2 linked regions of the Macaca fascicularis genome follow. The main gene of each other region encodes a partner of the protein of the gene in region 2 in a complex. Links are inferred from orthologs where the notes say so. Each region holds a gene or a part of one and is shown on either strand. Other genes may lie near its edges.

What was found. Proteins that work in one complex are often made in the same cells at the same time.
Region 1: the proteins of NXF1 (region 2) and NXT1 are in contact, whole or in part, in a crystal structure (PDB 4WYK), measured with the Homo sapiens proteins. The link is inferred for Macaca fascicularis from reciprocal best matches to the Homo sapiens genes NXF1 and NXT1. Residues at the interface, in NP_006353.2 of Homo sapiens: Ala366, Pro367, Thr368, Thr369, Leu370, Pro371, Pro372, Cys373, Lys374, Gly375, Tyr377, His411, Gly413, Cys415, Cys416, Ser417, Leu418, Ser419, Ile420, Pro421, Phe422, Arg440, Asn441, Val442, Lys443, Lys444, Lys446, Pro448, Thr449, Arg451; in NP_037380.1 of Homo sapiens: Phe6, Lys7, Val10, Asp11, Cys14, Glu18, Thr44, Val46, Trp47, Asn48, Gly49, Asn50, Ala51, Phe61, Met64, Leu65, Pro66, Ile72, Ser73, Val74, Val75, Asp76, Cys77, Gln78, Pro79, Val80, His81, Glu83, Ala84, Thr85.

What each region holds. Positions count from the first base shown.
Region 1 is NC_088384.1:63,953,447-63,960,914, forward strand, and holds NXT1 (NTF2-related export protein 1), read right to left. Parts: upstream 4,508-7,468; 5' UTR 4,247-4,507; intron 1,332-4,246; 5' UTR 1,271-1,331; coding exon 848-1,270; 3' UTR 540-847; downstream 1-539.
Region 2 is NC_088388.1:11,254,600-11,261,374, reverse strand, and holds the end of NXF1 (nuclear RNA export factor 1), read right to left. Parts: intron 6,004-6,775; coding exon 5,935-6,003; intron 5,855-5,934; coding exon 5,799-5,854; intron 5,186-5,798; coding exon 5,078-5,185; intron 4,963-5,077; coding exon 4,904-4,962; intron 4,794-4,903; coding exon 4,678-4,793; intron 4,555-4,677; coding exon 4,512-4,554; intron 3,641-4,511; coding exon 3,568-3,640; intron 3,072-3,567; coding exon 2,889-3,071; intron 745-2,888; coding exon 684-744; intron 562-683; coding exon 523-561; 3' UTR 215-522; downstream 1-214. Other genes in the region: TMEM223 (transmembrane protein 223), read right to left, coding at 1-70.

The DNA.
Region 1 (7,468 bases), on a different chromosome or scaffold from region 2:
ACATCCTAAGGTGATGTATCCTAAAAGACAACTAGGGTGCTTTTAAAAACTGCCCATGCCCAGCCCTACCCTCAAAGGTTCAGGCAAACAATTAACCAGTGTGGTGGCATGTGCCTGCAATCCCAGCTACGCAGGAGGCTGAGGCACAATAATTATTTGAACCCAGGAGATGGAGGTTGCAGTGAGCCAAGATTATGCCACTGCACTCCAATCTGGGTGACAGAGCAAGACCCTGTCTCAAAAACAAACAAACAAACAAAAAACAAAAAAAAAAACCCCTATCCACCACCACACACACAGACTCAAGCATGGTTGGGTCTGCAGTATGGCCTTGGCACAGGTAATTTTCAGTGTCCCAAGGGATTCTAGTGTGCATGGGGTTGTGAATCACAGTTCCAGGTGGGTCAACTGTGTGCATACCGGTGCCTGGGGTAGGTACTAAGCCCTGATCCTCACCCCTGTGCGGGTGCTTCCTATTATGCTTTCTGCCTTTAGCCTTCCTCCTCCCTCAAAACCTGGTCAAACACATCAGACGGGGGGAAAGAAGCAACATGTATATTATTAAATTATTTGTCAGAATTTCCAGAATCAGAGTCTCTACTGGGCAAGTAGAAAAATAGAAAAGTTTACTACTTTGAAAAGGAAACTATCACAAACAAGTATATATTCAGGAAAGGGACTCCTAGAACTTGAGCAACAAAAAAAGAGTTCAACCTCAGCACAGTGGAGTCTGCAGTGTCTCCGCAACAACAGAAATGAACTTGTGTTCCTCATATCCTTGAGAGTTGAGGTTTGCATTTCTCTACAGAGCTAGGGCTGAATGAAGCAGAGACCTCTGCCACCCCCACTAGCTGGCCCAATCCTGGAAGCGGAAGCAGTCACTTGCGATCTTCCACACTGTGTTGCTGGGTGAGGCCTGGGCGGTCAGGATGAAGTTCTGGTTGAAGTCCCGTTGTTTGTTCCCCTCAAACTTCACTGATCCACAGATCACAACAAGGACTGTGGTCTGGCTCGGTGTGGCTTCATCATGTACAGGCTGGCAGTCTACCACACTGATTTGGAACTCGCTGGAAGGCAACATTTCAAAAAACTCACTCAAGGATTCTTGTCCTGAAACAGCATTGCCATTCCAGACCAGGGTGGCTGTGCCCATGTACAGGCGGGAGAGCAAACGCCGCCGCTTATCCATGGTGGTGTAGTAGACGTTGACAAACTCCTCAGCAGCTCTGCAGGCCTGATCCACGTAGGTCTTGAAATCCACAGATGCCATTTCTGGTTCTATGGAAGAAGGGCTCCACCAGGGTATTTCCTCTGCCTTGGGGAATCAGGGGCTGCAGGGAAGTAAGGTTGAAGAGAACCCATGTGAATGCCAAAGTTCATTCTGCCCTGACAATGGAACATTCCTCCTTTTCTACTACTGGCAAAATAGTTACAGACTGCAGAACAATGACTGTAGGCTCAAATAGTACCCAACACCTAAATGTCTAATTTTACCAAGCCTCAGTTTGCTCATTGTTAAGATGGGATTACCACTGTGGCAAACTGAGACAGTATACATTGTGTTTAGTTAAAAACATTTAGTTATAGTCAGCACTCCATATCTGAGGGTTTTGCATCCACAGATTCAAGCAACCTCAGGGCGAAACCTGCAAATATATTGGGCTGACTGTGCTATGCCATTTTGTTTTTGTTTTTGAGACTGAGTCTCACTCTGTCACCCAGGCTGGAGTGCAGTGGCATGATCTCGGCTCACTGCAATCCCCCACCTCCGAGGTTCAAGGGATTCTCTTGCCTCAGCCTCCCAAGTAGCTGGGACTACAGGTGCCCACCGCCACGCTTGGCTAATTTTTGTATTTTTAGTAAAGACAGGGTTTCGCTATGTTGGCCAGTCTGGTCTCAAATTCCTGACCTCAGGTGATCTGCCCGCCTCAGCCTCCCAAAGTGCTGGGATTACAGTCATGAGCCACCGTGCCTGGCCTTAACGCCATTTTATATCAAGAACTTGGAGCATCAGCAGATTTGGTCTGTTGCAGGGGTAGGGGGACTGCTGGAATCAATTCCCAGAGGATGAGGAGGGCTGACTGGACCATTAATTTTTTAAATCACACTTTATAAAATAGAGTACATTTGACTATGGAAGGCCACTCTTTCCTGAATGCTTGCAACAGACATGACTGCCCCTTGGTAAAGACAGTGGACCATTTAGAAGGGAAGAGTGGTCACTGGCTCAATAAAGGCCAACCAAACCAACGAAATGCTCGTCAGCTGCTGAGTCTGGGAAAGTCTATCATGGAGCTCACTCAAGAGGAACCAGGAGGGCAGAGAAGGCAGGTTTCTTAAGAGGGTAGAAACACAAATGACATGAGGACAGAACCAAAATGGCAGCCATAATCCCCATGGTAAACTGGAAGCAGCAAATCTCTTGGGTGAGTGGGGATTAGAAGGGAGGACACCCAGCTTACATAGGTACTAATATCCACCACATCAGTCCTGTGGAGCCACAGTGCCTCCACAGAAAGACATGTTAAATTTCAAAGTTCTTGGGTGTGTGGGCACAGAATGTGTACTATAGCTGAAATGTCACACTGTCCCCCCAATAAAAAAGTAAAAAGCATAAAAAAAAATTGACATTTACTTTTTTCAGGGTACAGGTACAACTGTTACGTTATTTTCTCCATAATTAAAATATTTCACTTAAAATAGAAGACATTACTAAAATACTGGATTACTAAAATAGAGGACATTACTAAAATAGTTTATACTTACAAACTTAAATAGTGATTTTTTTTTTTTTCATTTCAAAAAAAGACCTTTTTTTTAAATGATTAGCTTATGAAAGCGATAAAACATTCCACATAGGGCTGGAAAGAGCCAGGTTCTTTTAACGGCTGCAAAGGTGGTGCATTGCCTCTGGTAAAGGGCTGGCTGGGAGGGAAGCTGTCCTAAAAATGAGCAGTTAAGAGCCAATTTCAGACCTGGGTCTTTCCACGCCCTCCACAGACCTCAAAGTGAAGCCTCAACTGTACTCTGAACTAAGTACAGCGGTCCTTCGGTATCTGTGAGGAACTGTATTCAGGACCCCCGAGGATACCAACACCTGCTGATGCTGAAGTCCCTGATAGAACGGTGTACTGTTTGATACAACGTATGCGCAGCATCCTCCTATGTACCTTAATCACCTGTAGGTAACTTATAACACCTAATACAATGTAGAAGGGATGTAAATAGTTGTTATACTGTATAGTTTAGGAAATAATGACAAGAAAAAAAAGCCTCTACATGTTCAGTACAAAGGCATTTTTCTTTTTCTGAAGAGTATTTTTGATTTGAGGTTGGTTGAATCCACCCCACGCGGAACCCACGAAGAAGCAGCGCTGTGTTTGCTAAGAGCTTCACATATATTACCTCATTTAAATGTCACCACAAATGAATGAAAAAGGTATTACTATAACAATTTTACAAATGAGAAAAGGGAAACCTAGGGCTGGATCAAGGTAATGACGGTTAAGAGCATTCCTGATCTATCATTTACAAGACTAGACTGAGGGCTGAAATTTTGTCAAGACGATGCTGTCCTTTTACTCGCGTAAGCAAGTCTCCATGAGGACAACTCCAGGACTGCCGGAGTGGGAATTTTCTCCCAGGGACCCCATTTCTCTTTGGCTGGAATTCCCGATCTCCACCTCACTCCTCTTCCCTCCATGGCACCAGTCCCCCCATCATCTCAGAAATGCCCCTCTTCCCCGCCCCTGGCTGTCCTTCCAAACACAATCTAACAATTGGCCACGCCCCCACACTCCATAGAAGGACCATCTCCACTTTTGGTTCTCAGTTACCTATGGGGCTGTCAGCCCCGCTGCGTCAAATCAGAAAAAGAACCAGACCTTGAGGACTGGAGTAAGAGGCTGTGAAGATCGCCGCCTCCTCCCACGGCCCGCACCGTCGAGTGTCCAGAGCTGGACGGGAGAAGCTACCACAGTGGCATTTCCTGCGAGTCGCCTTTAATTCAAACCTAGACAGACGCACGCCCTGCCCTGCCCTCCTCAGACCCGAGAGCTGCTCTGCGAGGGGACGCGCCTCTCCTCATTGAAGAGAATTCGCTGCCACGCGTTTTGCACAGTAGAGAGGCAACTCTACCACGTGGACAAAGGTACAGCCGTGTCTTATTCCCGACAATGGAGGAGGGCGTGGGGTATGCACGAGAGGCTGTCTCCGGGGTCAGACCGCCGGGGGGACTGCAACCTACCTGCGCGGCGACGTCCAGGGTCAGCGCGGGCCGCTGCGCCCACGGTCGGGATGCCCCCCGCGCGGGCCGCAGCTCCACCGAGGGGCCGGCCGCGGAGGTCACAGGGTGGGCCCACCGAGGCCTCGGGTAGGGGCACGGGAAGAGCCGCCTTTCTTCCCTCCTCTTCCTTCTTGGAGGCTTACTCTGGGTCACCGGGGCCCCACAGCCTGGGGACTTTCCGGCGCAGTTCCGCGGCTTCCCGCGCGCTGCTAGCCGGACTCCGCGCAGACGCGAGCGCTCCGGCCCCGCCCCCTCTCGCATTCCCGTGACGGGCAGCGAGGTTAGCCAGTGGGACTGCGAGCCGGAAGGCTATCTCCGCCCGTGTGTGGCTTATAAGAGGTGGTAGCTTCCGGGAGTGTCACCTTCCCAGAAACCCCGGCAAATCCGCCGTCGAGTTTTTATTGGTCCAACAGGGTCACAGACCCCGGCCCGTCTGGTTAGGTGGGATCCCTGATTGGGCCAAACCTCTCAGGTCCCGCCCCTAGATCCTCGCTGTTCTTTCCGCTGCGAGGAGGCCGCTTGGCTGGAGAGGGAGGGGACGTTGTGTGGGGTTGGGTGAAGTGCTTTCACCTAGTCCCGCATGCCCTTGTATTGGAGTGATTTCAGTTAAAAGGCTCGTGAAACGTCACTACTTGATGCAGTCACGGCCAGCAGCAGCTGCCTGACCCAGCCGAGGCCTTCCGTATGGCAACATGTGAGGCGCCGCGGTGCTTGAGGCCACAGCGAGGGCAAGGCCGGCCGCGCCCTGTGGCATGCGCGTGGCGGAGTGCCTGAGCCGATCGCGCTCCTTAGGAGCTTAAGCCACTTAGAGGCGATGTCCTGGTGGACACAGAGAAAGCCAGTTTTAGTCACATGGGAAATGTAGCTAAGAGTGGGAGGAGACTGGGGCGAGGGTAGGACGTGGGTGAGGCGGGGGCTTGACGGCGGCTTCCCACTGCCCTGAGGCCTGAGGTGTCCCGGGAAACGCGGGCCCGTCAGGAGTTGGGATTCTGTTATTCCGCGTCCCTAGCTAAGTTTCAGCTGTTCTGGAATGAGGACTGGATTTTTACTGAACTTTACCAACAGGCTCAACAGGATATAACCATTCAGTGTGGAGGTTTGAGAAACTGTAGCTTGTAAATTAAAAGAAAAACCTCATTTCTTTAGACAACATTTTCAGCTCCATCTGCTGGTCTGAGGCTGAAAAATTAATTGCAAAGCCAGGAGAGAACTGGGGCTAGATGAAGTGAAGTAGTTTAACCTGTGCTTTCTTGGCGTCCCATCGGCTCCCTTTGCTTGCATTCCTAAGAGAATCTTGGTCTCAGATTTCAGGACACATTGAAAACAGTTGGGCTGTTTAGTATAGGCCACCCCTCCCCCCCCCCGCTCCCTCCCCCCCACCCCACGCACACACTTCAGTTAAGTAGGTGGAGAGTTTGGATTATTAAAAGGACAAGTTGGAGGCTGAGCAGAGAGGGTGAAGGAGCATTTGCGGTGCTTTATGAACTGAAATGACTTTATGAACCCCAAGGCAGTGATACTTGGATTGATCTAAATCGGCATGGATGGAATGGAAGTGGGAATGAGAGTTGATCTACTGCACGCTCAGTAGTTTGGATGTTGTGCTGCTTTTGTTTCATATATAATAAGTCCCTTTCATTTCTTTCACATAACTTATTGGGGGAGGTACCATTATTTCTGATTTCATAGACAAAGAGGCTGACAAAGAACCATCCTGGTGTCACAGGGTCAATTCATACCTAGAAAAGCTGGTTAGAAGAACATTAGGACGTTAGAAGAACGTTAATGAAGCTCCAAGGCCTTTTAAAAATGCGAGACTTTAGCCTTGAGAGGCAGCTGTTCTGCCTTGTAGGTTTGTGGGGTCTGCCTTTTAGGTTAGGGTCCTTTTAGGTTTGTGTCTCCAGCATATAGAGTTGTGCCTGACCCATAGCAAGGGCTCAATAAATACTGTCTGAATGAACAGACAAGCCTGGGTTCAAATCATTGCTCCTCAACTGCATGGTTGTGATGATCTGTCCTCAACACACTCCCTGCTCTCTTTGGAAGCAACCCTGGCTTTTATTCCCCCTATGATCCTGGAGTTTGGGGACGTCAGAGACATCCCTGGTTCCAAAGGGCATACAACTGGCACTGTATGCGTTGAGCACAGCTGAGGGTGGTGGGAGGCCCAATTAGGGCCATTGAGCCTGGAGGTGTTTGCTGAGGGATTCTGGGAAAGGATATTTTTCTCCCTTCCCTTCTGGACCCATGGTGTGTAGATAGCACTGCTGCAGCCATCTTGCTGCCCTGAGTGGTAGACCCTTGATGATGAGGCAGACAGGAAAGCTGGGAAGGAATCAGGCTCTTGATGACTATGTTGGGAGTCAAATCATCCCTCAAGTTTGGACTTTTTAGTTTCAAGAGCCAGGAAATCCCTTTTATCTTTTATACTGTTTAAAATTGGGCATAAACATAAAGTTATTTACAACTTGACTAGTGTGGCTTAAGCATTAGCAGGGTGGCTGTGGCAAGTGAGTTACCTCTTTGGGGCTCAGCTGCCTCCTCTGTAGAATAGGGGCAATGGTCAAATCCATCTCCTTGGGCTGACGTGAGGAGCGAAGGAAACAATGCAACGCTAAGTGCTTCATATGGGGCAGAGCACGAAGTAGCATCCAGAAAGCATTAGGAAAGCAGAATCATGCTTTGACATTTTGCATCTACAGCAGCTTCCTTATCTGCCAACAATCCCTCCAATGACTGGCTTTTAAACTTGGAAGAAGTGTATTGACAAATTGGTGGGATTTGTCACCAAATTGCACGGGCACCTTCTGAAGACGAGCCCAGTGGTTTAAGCAGCCAAGGAGCCAGTGGTCCCATGTGCAGCATGAAGTCCGTCTGGGGAGGACGGGCACATCTGGTCACACAGGCAGAGTCCTTGGCAGCTCTGACGCCCAGGCTTGACTTAAGGATATTTAAGTCTGTAAACACAGGATTGATCTTTTCCCTCATTGTCAATGTTGTTCTCTGGTGCAGGATCTTAACAGCATTTGTTTGCCATGAGAGGCTGTGTGACTTGGAGCCAGTCGACCTACAGTGACAGCAAAGCAGTTGTGACTCTCATGCACTGACACCAAAAACACTTTTTTTTCCCGTCTCTCGGCCTTAGCAGGATCATCTGAGCCACTGCCAGTTCAGAGTGAGCTG
Region 2 (6,775 bases):
GCCGGCGCGTGGGCAGGGGTCGCAGCACAGTTAGCAGCCCCGTGGGCCACCGCCTCCAAGGCGCCGCCATGGCCAGCCGACTTCCGGGGTGGGACTTCCTGTCGCAGAGCCGCCTCCCGCCCTCCCTAGCCCCCCCCCCCCCCCCCCGCCCCGCTAGAGGGCCCGCCCTCCCGCTCAGGGCTGGGAGGAGACAACCAATCCAGAACGCAGAACACAAAATACAACATCACTCTTTATATTAAAAAGTAAGGAGGTCCTGGGGTTAAGTACACAAAGCACCTAAATCCTTCGGGTAGTTTAGTGTCAGTTCTACAAAGTAAGCTTTGGCTTCCGGGCATCAGTGAGGCTCAATCTTCTGAAGGCTTCCAGGGCAGGCGAGGAGAGGGATCAGGCAGCCCTCCCTCCCTCGGTCACAGTCACGGGGCGGCCTAGGGCCAGACAGGAGGAGATGACAGACGACAACCAGATGGTAATATCCAAGGACTATTTACAGGGGAGGCTGCTTCTGGGGCATGACTACAATCACTTCATGAATGCCACTTCTGGGATCTCGCCCTTGGCCTGGAGAAAAATGAAGGTCAGTAGAGGCAGGCCTACCATCTCCACTCAGCAACCCCAGCTAACCTGACCTCCGGAAGGCCCAGAGATCCTAGTGTTTTTGCCACTGTATTTCCAGACCTTACCTTGAGATGAGTGAAGGCCTGGGCAGATCTGGTGTAGTCCCAGTTGTTGTCCTGAAGGCACCTGGAGTGGAAGAACAGGCAGCTCTGTAAGAACTCTGACCCCTAAATGCCAGTTGGAAGTCCATTCCATAAAAGCACCCAGGTTTGCCAACAAATATGTACATTCTTATACATCCTTGCACTATTTATACAAATGAGAAATTAGTAAAAGTCCAAATGTTCTACCAATGGCTTATCAAAGATAAGGAATATTAAATAGCTGTCAAGAAGTCCAAGATAGTTTTTACAGTGGTAGGGAAAGATGTTCATGGTGTAAGTAAAGAAACTAAGTTGCAGAACAGTATATGAAAAGGAACTTCCATTTGCCTTTAACGTTTTTTTTTTTTTTTGAGATGGAGTCTCACTGCCGCCCAGGCTGGAGTGCAATGGTGCAATCTTGGCTCACTGCAACTTCTGCCTCCCAGGTTCAAGTCATTCTCCTGCCTCAGTCTCCCGAGTAGCTGGGATTACAGGCGCCGCCACCATGTCCAGCTAATTTTTGTATTTTTAGTAGAGACAGATTTCACTATGTTAGCCAGGCTGATCTCGAACTCCTGACCCCGTGATCCGCCCACCTCGGCCTCCCAAAGTGCTAGGATTACAGGCGTGAGCCACCGCCCCGGCAACCTTTAAAAATTTTTATGCTAGGCCGGGCGCGGTGGCTCACGCCTGTAATCCCACCACTTTGGGAGGCCGAGGCGGGCGGATCACAAGGTCAGGAGATCGAGACCACGGTGAAACCCCATCTCTACTAAAAATACAAAAAATTAGCCGGGCGCGGTTGTGGGCGCCTGTAGTCCCAGCTACTCAGGAGGCTGAGGCAGGAGAATGGCGGGAACCCGGGAGGTGGAGCTTGCAGTGAGCCAACATCGCGCCACTGCCCTCCAGCCAGGGGGACAGAGTGAGACTCCATCTCAAAAAAAAAAAAAAAAAAAAAAAAAAAAAAAAAAAAATTATGCTAATTTATGCACAGGCAAATTTTTGGTAGACTATCAGGGTTTTTTGGTTTTTTGTTTTTAAGACGGAGTCTTGCTCTGTCACCAGGCTGCAGTGCAGTGGCACGATCTCGGCTCACTGCAACCTCCGCCTCCTGGGTTCAAGCAATTCTCCTGCCTCAGCCTCCCGAGTAGTTGGGACTACAGGCGTGGACCACCAAGCCCCACTAATTTTTGTATTTTTAGTAGAGATGAGGTTTCACCATGTTGTCCAGGATGGTCTTGATCTCTTGACCTCATGATATGCATGCCTCAGCCTCCCAAAGTGCTGGGATTACAAATGTGAGCCACCTTGCCTGGCCAACTATTAGGTTTTTTTAAGCAGCCAAAAGCTTTGCCTTTTAAAATTTCAGGAACCCAGGCACGGTAACTCACACCTATAACCCCAGCACTTTGGGAGGCCTAGGTGGGCAACATGGTGAAACCCCATCTCTACAAAGAAATACAAAAAAATGAGTCAGGTGCTGTGGCCTATGCCTGTAATCCCAGCTACTCAGGTGCCTGAGGTGGGAGAATCACCTGAGCCCTAGCAGTTGAGGCTGCAGTGAGCTGTGATCACACCACTGTACTCCAGCCTGGGCATCAGAGTAAGACCCTGTCTCAAAACAACCAAATAAAAATCTGGCTGGGCGCAGTGCCTCACGCCTGTAATCCCAGCACTTTGGGAGGCCACAGTGGGCAGATCACGAGGTTAGGAGTTCAAGACCAGCCTGGCCAACATAGTGAAACCCTGTCTCTACCAAAAAAAAAAAAAATACAAAAAATTAGCCAGGCATGGTGGCATGTGCCTGTAATCCCAGCTACTCGGGAGGCTGAGGCAGGAGAATTGCTTGAGCCTGGGAGGCAGAGGTTGCAATGAGCCAAGATCGCACCACTGCACTCCAGCCTGGGCAACAGAGCAGGACTCCATCTCAAAAAGAAAAAAAAAAGGTGGCACATGCCTATAGGCCCAGCTACTCTGGAGGCTGAGGTGGGAGGATAGCTTGTGCTCAGCAGTTAGAGGCTACATTGAGTTATGATCACCACTACACTCCAGCCTGGATGACAGAGCAAGAACTTGTCTCTATAAAAAAAAAACCAAAAACACACACAAAAAAACCATCAGGAGCTCTCATTATTTACTACTAGCCCTCCTTCAGTTCACCCCGTCCTACACATGCCCAGTACTCACTTCTGGGACCACTCGAGGTTCATGCCAGACTGGGTAGAGAATGCCTGCAACATTTCCTGCTGCTCTGGAGAGAGGGTGGGCACTGGGCTGGAGGAAGGCGTGGGCGCAGGCATAGCGAAGGCTCTTTGGATCTCTTCAGAACTGGCATTCCGCACAAATAGCTCGTCGTTTACAATGCATAGCCTTGAGGACAAAGAGCACTTAAAAAGCTAGACAGATAACGTCATCCTCCCATCATTCCTATTCTCTGATTCTTTCAATATCCACAAGGTCCCCCCCTCCCCCCTTAGCTATTGTTACCTTTTATCATTTATCCCCTCCCATGGAATCAATGTTTGGAAGGATTATCTACCAAACACACTAGAGTTCTCCCGACCCATGGACAGTTCTTAGCTCTTTTATTCATCCTCACGACAAACTTAGGCAGTGAATATTGTTAAATGAATTTTCAGATGAGGCAGCAGCCTACTTGCTGGAAGTGGTGGAGCCAGGATGAAAACCCAGACGGCACAATTCCAGAGCCAAGCTATTAACTAACTGGCTCTTAACTACTATGTGAGCTTTCCCTGATTTCCTGTTGCCTTTCTGAAATCACCCCAAAGACTGACTCTACCTTCCAATTACCACACTGTTGGCCATGATTAGGACTGGTATCCAATGTGAAAAGCAGAATACTTACCCTGAATTGCTAGCAGGAACAGCAATGAACGTCCGGGTGAAGGCTCGCAAAGAATCCCGGGACTTTCCGTCCACTGCAATGAGAACAGCAACGACACCTTAGGGTCACTAGTGCTTTATGTTTACAAACAGCTTCTTGAATCATGGTCTTCTTTGATACAAAGAATCCTAGCGGGTCAGAGAGGGATGATTAAGTATATAAGGGTATAAGGGAAGCAGAGGTGGGGTGAAAGGTCAGGTCAGAAAGGACAATAGTAATAACTACGGCCGGGCGTGGTGTCTCATGGTTATAATCCCAGCACTTTGGGAGACCAAGGCAGGTGGATCCCGTCCAACATGGCGAAACCCCGTCTGTACTAAAAATACAAAAATTAGCTGGGCGTGGTGGTGCGCGCCTATAGGCCCAGCTACTTGGGAGGCTGAGGCAGGAGAACCAGTTGAACCCAGGAGGCGGAGGTCGCAGTGAGCCAAGACTGCGCCACTGCGCTCCAGCCTGGTGACAGAGTGTGACTCTGTCTCAAAAAAAAGTAATTACTACTAATCCACTGATAGCATCTGTGTGCCAGGCCCCAGGCCAAGCACTTTGTAAGTCACTTCAGTTACTTTCTATAGCACCACTATGAGATGGCTATTACTTAACCCCAACTTACAAATAAAGAATCTGTCTTAGAGGTAATGTTACTTGTCCGCAGCCCCACACAACCAAAACTGGGATGGAAACTAAGAACTGCCTGACTCCAAAGTCCTCCTAATCCCCAGGCTTTTCCCATATCCAGAAAGGACAGGTGGAGAGGCAGGCCAAGCCAAGACGGCTTGGGTTCAGAATGGGAGAAGGAGCTCAAAAAGAAAATGGGAGAGAAAGTAGCTGGGAGGCTAAGAGTGCTGAGGAAAATTCCAGCTGGGGGTGGGACCATGCTACAAACTCAGGACTCCAGAGATTCTTACCTTCCTTGAAGACTCCATTGACAGAAAAACACAGCAGTGTACTCTGAAAGAGAAGCAGCATCGGGTACAATGTACACTTCTCAGAGCCTGAGTGCCCCCCCTTGTCTATTAAATGCCACCCCCACCCCAATTTTAGGCTTCTGTCAGGGCACCAACAGGAGCTTACTGTCTGGGCGCTTATGTCTACCACGAAGGAATTGACGTCATGCTGGGTTTTGGGCAACTCGTTGAGGAAGGCAACAACGTTGAGACGCGTGTGCTTCAGCAGCCGGAACCGCAAGGCTGTGGGTGGAGGAGAAAGCTCAGCGGTGCTGCCACATACTCCTGAGTTCTATGACTGATTCCTTCCCATGCCCTTTTCCCATCGTATTTTGTTCATATCACACACTTACTAGGGTCTTTAAGCTTCTTCACATTTCTGCTATCCTTGAAATACTCGGCCAAGCTGCTTCTGGGGGAGTAAGAGGAATGGACGTGGTGTTCAGAGCAGTGCTGCCAGCAGGTGCTGCCTTGTATCTGCTGGGAAACCCAGTGGTCCTGGGGAGATTCTGGGATGTGATACTCACCGGGCAGGGTTCTGAGGAATGAAAGGAATGCTCAGGGAACAGCAGGCCCCATCATGGTAGGCATCCAGGAGCCCTTGCCGGTCTCCAGAGTCATAAATTGCATAGTACCTATGGGAAAATCAAAAGAGAAAGTATGAACTATGTGGTCTAGAGCCATAAAAGGACCCAGTAGCTCCCAAGAGTGAGTTGTGGCCGGGCATGGAGGCTCATGTCTGTAATCCCAGCACTTTGGGAGGCTGAGGCAGATGAACAGCTTTTGCCCAGGAGTTCAAGACCAGCCTGAGCAACATGGCAAAACCCTGTCTCTACTAAAAATACAAACAAAATGGCTGGGCGCGGTGGCTCATGACTCTAATCCCAACACTTTGGGAGGATAAGGCAGGCAGATCATGAGGTCAGGAGTTGGAGACTAGCCTGGCCAACACAGTGAAACCCCGTCTCTATGAAAAATACAAAAATTAGCCAGGTGTGGTGGCACACGCCTGTAGTCCCATCTACTGGGGAGGCTGAGGCAGGAGAATCACTTGAACCCTGGGAGGCAGAGGTTGCAGTGAGCCAAGATCACATCATTGCACTCCAGCCTGGGTGACAGAGTGAGACACTGTCCAAAAAACAAACAAACAAAAAAAAAACCCAAAAGAGTGAGGCTGAGGTGTGCCTGGGTCTGCCCACCTTTCCCTGCCAACCCCGGGGTGGGGAGAGGGGGCCCTGGGATACTTACTGTTGTAGGAAGTGCAGGACCAGACTCTTCAAGTTTTCTGTTCCAAAATAGCTTCCCTGAAATCAAACAAGATATTAGGAACATGGAAGCAGTATTCTCTCCACACATAAGTTCTTACTCAGTCCATGCTTCCTACCTTGCAGGGCGGTAACGTCGTGGGGGCTTCAACATCAAAGGCAATTGGCGGGGGTAGCTCATGGCCATCCTGTGGAAAGGAAATAAAAGTTGACAGTGTAGACTGAGCACAGTGGCTCACACCTGTGATCCCAGAACTTTGGGAGGCCGAGGCAGGCAGATGGCTTGAGCCCAGGAGTTTTAGACCAGCCTGGACAACATGGCAAAACCCATCTCTACCAAAAAAAAATACAAAAATCAGCTGGGCGTGGTGGTGTGTGCCTGTAGTCCCAGCTATTTGGGAGGCTGAAGTGGGAGGATCACTTGAACCTGGCAGGCGAAGGTTGCAGTAAGCTACGATTGTGCCACTGCACTCCAGCCTGGATGACAGAGCGAGACCCTGTCTCAAAAACAAAACAAAAGTTGACAGTTTAAACCAGAGAGAAAAAGGCTGGATGCATAAGTAGACTAAAGAACTAACAGAGAAGGATCAGAAGTCACGTATAAAAGCATCATGAAAAGTATCCAGGAATCCAGGCTGGGCACAGTGGCTCATGCCTGTAATCCCAGCACACTGGGAGGCCAAGGTGGATGGATTAGTTGAGGTCAGGAGTTCAAGACCATCCTGGCCAACATGGTGAAACCCCCGTCTCTACTAAAAATACACAAAGAAATTAGCTGGGCGTTGTGGCACATGCATGTAATCCCAGCTACTTGGGAGGCTGAGGCAGGAAAATCGCTTGAACCCAGGAGGCGGAGGTTGCAGTGAGTCTAGATTGCACCGCACTCTGGATAACAGAGCAAGACTCCATAAACGGCCTGGCAAGGTGGCTCACGCCTATAATCCCAGCACTTTGGGAGGC